Linked DNA regions of Macaca fascicularis. The protein of the gene in region 1 purifies or fractionates together with the protein of each later gene. This does not show direct contact. Links are inferred from orthologs where the notes say so. Each region holds a gene or a part of one and is shown on either strand. Other genes may lie near its edges.

Region 1 (3,064 bases):
ATTTTACTAAGCAGGTGTGGGTTTGGTAACTTCTAACCATATTTTGCTTTGGCCCCTCTGGCCCTTCTAAATTGGTCTACCTCAAAAAATATAGAGAGAGAGAAAGAGAGACACAGACTGACTGAGTCTTGGCTGTTTCCCAGGCTGAAGTGCAGTGGTGAGATCTCTGCAGTCGCCGCCTCCTGGGTTTGGGTTCAGGTGATTCTCATGCCTCAGCTTACCCCAAGTAGCTGGGACCTATAGGCGCACACCACCGTGCCTGGATAATTCTCGTATTTTTTCTTTTTTTTTTTTTTGGAGACGGAGTCTTGCTCTGTCGCCCAGGCTGGAGTGCAGTGGCTGGATCTCAGCTCACTGCAAGCTCTGCCTCCCGGGTTCACGCCATTCTCCTGCCTCAGCCTCCCGAGTGGCTGGGACTACAGGCGCCCGCCACCACGCCCGGCTAGTTTTTCGTATTTTAGTAGAGATGGGGTTTCACCGTGTTAGCCAGGATGGTCTCGATCTCCTGACCTGGTGATCCGCCCGTCTCGGCCTCCCAAAGTGCTGGGATTACAGGCTTGAGCCACCGCGCCCGGCTAATTCCCGTATTTTTAGTAGAGACGGGGTTTCAGCATGTGGCCAGGCTGGTCTTGAACTCCTGACCTCAGGTGATCCGCCCACCTTGGCCTCCCAAAGTGCTGGGATTACTGGTGTAAGCCAGCACCTGGCCAGAAACAACTGATTTCTTAACCTATCAGTAAAGTCTTGGTAACATTTCTAGCCTTTATTATTATGGTCTTCCCTCTCCCGGAGATGTTTTGATGGTGAAGGAAAAATGTTCTTCCTAACAGATTCTTCTGCATGGTTAAAAAGCTGCCTCTGACCACAGTTTTTAAAATACAGCTAACTGCTGCTTATCCAGCATTTTCTTCATGAGTCATATGGCTGTAGTTTGCTGGTTTAAGCTGGTTTTAAAGGAGGGAGGCAGAAGCTTTTGTCTCCCAAAGAATAGGATTAAAGCAGGACCAGAATGAGCTCAGTAGTTACACAATCATTCAGAGAATGAATCAGAGCTGGAAAGGGGAATTTTGCCTTAGTTTAAGGAATCATATCTACTGTGGCTACAAAGCAACGGTCTGGTCTTGCCGAGTAGTTCATGAACATATCTTTGGTTTTCCAAGGCATTTTTGCTGAATTAGGTCTTCAAAAATTTTTACTTTTGAAAGTAGTCCCTGAGCAGGAGTGGCCTGCTGAAAAATGGTTATCTTTTTTTGTTTGAGATGGAATCTCTGTCACTCAGGCTGGAGGGCAGTGGTGTGATCTCAGCTCATTGCAGCCTCCACCTCCTGGGTTCAAGTGATTCTCCTGCCTCAGTCTCCCAAGTAGCTGGGACTTACAGGTGTGTGCCACTATGCCCGGCTAATTTTTTTTTTGTATTTTTAGTAGAGACACAGTTTTGCCATGTTGGCCAGGCAGGTCTCGAACTCCTGACCTCAGGTGATCACCTGCCTCAGCCTCCCAAAGTACTGGGATTACAGGCGTGAGTCACTGCGCCCAGCCAGTTATCTGTCTTGAAGGTTAATCAGTCATTAGGTGTGAATCATTCCTAAATGTCCCATCTGATGTATCATATCCTGACATTTTCCTTTCTTCCTCCCACAGCGTGAGTGCATCTCCATCCATGTTGGCCAGGCTGGTGTCCAGATTGGCAATGCCTGCTGGGAGCTCTACTGCCTGGAACATGGCATCCAGCCTGATGGCCAGATGCCAAGTGACAAGACCATTGGGGGAGGAGATGATTCCTTCAACACCTTCTTCAGTGAGACGGGCGCTGGCAAGCATGTGCCCCGGGCCGTGTTTGTAGACCTAGAACCTACTGTCATTGGTGAGTTGACCTCAGTAACCGAAGTGAGATCCCAGGGTGCTGGGACAGGAGGTCTGTCCTGGGGGCTCCGCTAGTCACCCACTCACCCACTCTTTCCTTCTCCCCTGCTCCTCACCGTCATCTTCTCCAGATGAAGTTCGCACTGGCACCTACCGTCAGCTCTTCCACCCTGAGCAACTCATCACAGGCAAGGAAGATGCTGCCAATAACTATGCCCGAGGGCACTACACCATTGGCAAGGAGATCATTGACCTCGTGTTGGACCGAATTCGCAAGCTGGTAAATAAAGTGGGGCAAGAGTTTCTTTTGTGGTTCTGAGACCAAACTACAAAAATCATTCTTTGCAACTGAAATGAGACTATTGGCATTGCAACTAAAATGCGACTGCTCACTAAATTAATTGGATCTCTGAACCAGATGGTCTTGGGTTTATGGGATAACTATGGGGTAGGAGGAAGTGCTCATTAGCCTATTTTGATTCAAGCTGAGACACCCCTTTTGAGGTCATCTTAGTCACACTGAGTGAGTAGGTGGCTGACTTCTATATACAACTAATTGATTAAAGTCACTTAAAAAATCTGGACTGGTTCCTTCATGTCAATAAAGTTCAGAGAACAAGAAGCCAGTGTCACACTGACAAGAAACAGCCAACAGTGGAAACTTCCAGTACAGCTGAAAGTGGAGTCGGGAGCTTCCTTATGAAGTGTGCTGTTTGGATCACTTTAAGAGCCTGGCAATCAGATGACTCTTTGCTCCTTAGGCATGTGGGCAGCTTGTAAGTAATTAACCAGAGATCAAGCATGATGGCCTGGGCAGAGTAACTTGTCAAGAAAATCACATTGTATTAAGCCCAGCCATGACTGCTCCATTCTAAAAAAAAGAATGGCCTCATCATTCATGGCTTCATACTTTCCTCAAATGTTTACGTAGTCTTCCCAGAAAAACTGGACTGATGTTTCCTATGCTTAAAAACTAAGCTTTAGTTACAAGCACTGACTTGGAAATCAGGACCTGCCTTTAGGGACAAATAAACCTAGTAGCTAGTTAGGGTTCTGGAGTGAGGTTTATTGCCTGCCAAAATAATTGCATTTGTCCTTAGCATTACTGGGTTCACAGGAGGCTTAATGGGTGTAATTGGTAGGTGAGAGTCTGTCTTGTGCATTGATCTCATGTAGTTTATGGACCCACAGGCTATGAGGG
Region 2 (3,823 bases), on another chromosome or scaffold:
CTGGGATTACAGGCTTGAGCCACCGCGCCTGGCCCACTTAAAATTATTATCAGCGTGACAGTAATTATTTCCCTCCAGTATTGTGATATAGCTACGATATTGGGAACAGGCAACAGCTGTTGAGAATCGTGTTCCTTCAGTCCCTACTTGAAGGAACTAAAAAAAAAAAAAAAAAAAGTGGTTTTTTTGTTTTTAAATTCATTACAAAATACGACAGTGATTTGGACACTTAAAATGTCAAGTGGTGCTGAAAGAGAGATTTCACATGTGTCATGTTTTGCTTCTCTCCAAATTAGGAATGGCTTTCTAAAGGACACGGGGAATACAGAGAAATCCCTAGTGAAAGAGATTTTTTTCAAGAAGTCAAGGAGAGTAAAAAAGTGGTTTGCCATTTCTACAGAGACTCCGCATTCAGGTAACTTTGTTTCCATCTGTGACTTTTTCTTAAAAAAACCACAATGAATTGTTTGGATAAAGATACACTGGCTTACTAGAGAAATGAAGAAAACTAAAAGGAAAAACTTCCTAAGTTGTTTCATTGTACTCTCTCATACGTTATTTAGTATTAAGCAGGTGGGGGTCCAATCACTCAAGCCTGCAATCCCAGCATTTTGGGAGGCCGAGGGTGGGGGCGGATCACTTGAGGTCAGGAGTTCGAGATCAGCCAGGCCAACATGGAGAAACCCTGTCTCTACTAAAACTACAAAATTAGCCGGATGTGGTGGCAGGTACCTGTAGTCCCAGCTACTGGGGAGGCTGAGGTGGGAGAATTGCTTGAACCCGGAGACAGAGGTTGCAGTGAGTGGAGATCGTGACACTGCACTCCAGCTTGGGCGATAGAGTGAGACTCTGTCTCAAAAAAAAAAAAAAAAAAAAGAGAAAAAAAAAGTTAATCGTTATTTTAAGGAGTAACTTAAAGAACAGTTTCTTGCAAAAGTATAAATGGATATTACTGAAAGTCAGTATTCTCATATAAACGGCTTATGTTTTTGAATTGTGTTTTCACTAGCTAACTCTAAAAACATCTTAGAAATGTACACTTTAAATTCTTTTTTTTTTTTTTGAGACGGAGTCTCGCTGTGTCGCCCAGGCTGGAGTGCAGTGGTGAGATCTCAGCTTACTGCAATCTCCACCTCCCAGGTTCAAGCAATTCTCCTGCCTCAGCCTCCCAAGTAGCTGGAACTACAGGCACCTGCCACCACGCCCGGCTACTTTTTTGTATTTTTAGTAGAGATGGGGTTTCACTGTGTTAGCTAGAATGGTCTCAATCTCCTGACCTCATGATCCACCCGCCTCGGCCTCCCTAAGTGCTGGGATTACAAGCTTGAGCCACTGCGCTCAGCCCACTTAAAATTCTTATCAGCATGACAGTAATTATTTCCCTCTAGTATTGTGATATACCAGTCTTGGCTGGAAGGAGAAGTGATTTTTCTTAGACCACCCTACGTCTCCATATCTCTCTAAGGAGGCTGATCTCTTATAAAATGTTAATACCTCCCCAAAAAAAGTCTTATCTTAAACCAAAGGACCCAAGCCTTTGTGGGTTTTGGTGCACAGATTTGATTAGTCGCCAACACTTAAAAATTGAGAGATAACCCCTTTAGAAAATATCCACATTCGGAATTTTTCTTTAAAAAATATCAGAAAACTTACTAATAGCATCACTGGAACTAGAATGGCAGTCATCTGCTGACTGGCACCTGCCCACCCGGGACAGACAAGCACTGTGCTCTGGAGTCTCTGGCACTCACTGTGGTTTTGGGCCTGCTGTGTTTCTCATTTCTGTGGCCTGCCTGCCCCTTTGTCTTCATCTCACAACCCAACAGCTTCGTTGTTAACACCTTTCAAGAATTGATTGCCTGGTATTCATTGACTAAGAGAATAAAAATGAAAGAAAATATTGAGATGGTGAAATCCCTCGTGAGGAACAGTGAGAGAAGGGATTAGGAAGGTAGAAAGGTATCAGAGAAACCTCTGCCCTTGTGGTACACAGCCATCTCCCATTGGCACACATTCCTCTGTTGCCAACCTCTGACAAATAGGATGAAGTGATACATAAATATACTAGTATGTAAAATATTATTTGTCCACTTGTTTTTTTGTTTTTGAGAGAGTCTTACACTGTCACCCAGGCTAGAGTGCAATGGCGGGATCTCGGCTCACTGCAACCTCCACCTCCCAGGTTCAAGTGATTCTCCTGCCTCGGCCTCCCGAGTAGCCAGGACTACAGGAACCCGCCACCATACCTGGCTAATTTTTGTATTTTTAGTAGAGAAGGGGTTTCGCCAGGTTGGCCAGGCTGGTTTCAAACTCCTGACCTCAGGTGATCCACCCACCTTGGCCTCCCAAAGTGTTGGGGATTACAGGCATGAGCCACGGCACTCGGCCTCACTTGCGTTTTGTATGTCTTCCCCAACCAGATTGTTGTTTTTGTAGAGGCAGAGCATTTGCCTGTATTGTGGCCCACTGTGCTCTGGGATCATAGCCCTAAGGCAACTGCCTGACACATAGTAGTCAATAAATAATGTTTGATCGGTATATAAACAGTGCATCACCAGGAGTACTCACCTTCAAACAGAACTGAAAAATCAAAATCATCCAGTTAACTTTATATATTAGCAAAGTTTCTAGCTCATAGTAGGTAGGATGCTTTCATGTATATTATCCCTAGAACATTCACAATAATCTTCAGAGGCACTTATTATTATTCCTGTATTTCATGTGTGGAAACCAAGATTTGGAGAAATTAAGTGACTCACCTAGTATCACTCACATACTAAATAATTAAAAAAAAAAAAAAAGATTTGAACCAATGTTTCTTTGGATTTTTTGTTTTGTTTTGTTTTTGAGACAGAGTCTCTCTGTCGCCCAGGCTGGAGTGCAGTGACAACGATGTTGGCTCACTGCAACCTCTGCCTCCCGGGTTCAAGCGATTCTCCTGCCTCCGCCTCCTGAGTAACTGAGATTACAGGGGCACGCTACCAGACCTGGCTAATTTTTGTAATTTTAGATGGGGTTTTACCATATTGGTCAGGCTGGTCTCGAACTCCTGACCTCAGGTGATCCACCGACCTTGGCCTCCCAAAGTGCTGGGATTACAGGCATGAGCCACCATGCCCGGCTGAACCCATGTTTTAAGCCTATTGCTATTTTTTAAATTTTTGTGGGTAGTCATAGGTAAATATGGGGTACATGAGATATTTTAACACAGGCATGAAATGTTTAATAATCACATCAGGGTAAATGGAGTATCAGTCACCTCAAGCTTTTATCCTTTGTGTTATAAACAATCTAATTATGCTCTTTTAGTTATTTTTAAATGTACATAAAGGCCTATAGCTATTCATACCATGACTGTTGTTTTGGATTTTTAAAAATTGATTGACGGGTTGGGCACCGTGGCTCATGCCTGTAATGCTAGTACTTTGAGAAGCTGAGGCAGGCGGATCACGAGGTCAGGAGATCGAGGTCATCCTGCCCAACATGATGAAAACCCATCTCTACTAAAGTACCAAAACTTAGCTGGGCCTGGTGGCACGTGCCCATAGTCCCAGTTGCACAGGAGGCTGAGGCAGGGGAATTGCTTGAACCTGGGAGGCAGAGGTTGCTCTGAGCCGAGATCACACCACTGCACTCCAGCCTGGCAACAGAGCAAGACTCTGTCTCAAAAAAAAAAAAAAAAAATTGATTGACAAATGGTATAATCATAGACTTATTTAAAATAGGTTCGTGGCCAGGTGTGGTGGCTCACACCTGAAATCCCAGCACCTTTGGGAGGCTGAGGCCGGTAGATCACCTGAGGTCAGGAGTTCAAGACCAGCCT

What was found.
Region 2: the proteins of tubulin alpha-1C chain (region 1) and TXNDC9 purify together in Homo sapiens (co-immunoprecipitation; 3 studies listed by BioGRID and IntAct, counting the BioPlex papers as one, with this or other methods). This does not show direct contact. The link is inferred for Macaca fascicularis from reciprocal best matches to the Homo sapiens genes TUBA1C and TXNDC9.

Annotation. Positions count from the first base shown.
Region 1 is NC_088385.1:56,088,062-56,091,125, forward strand, and holds part of tubulin alpha-1C chain, read left to right. Parts: intron 1-1,641; coding exon 1,642-1,864; intron 1,865-1,994; coding exon 1,995-2,143; intron 2,144-3,064. UniProt on the Homo sapiens protein: Tubulin is the major constituent of microtubules, a cylinder consisting of laterally associated linear protofilaments composed of alpha- and beta-tubulin heterodimers.
Region 2 is NC_088387.1:3,821,830-3,825,652, reverse strand, and holds part of TXNDC9 (thioredoxin domain-containing protein 9), read left to right. Parts: intron 1-296; coding exon 297-415; intron 416-3,823. UniProt on the Homo sapiens protein: Significantly diminishes the chaperonin TCP1 complex ATPase activity, thus negatively impacts protein folding, including that of actin or tubulin.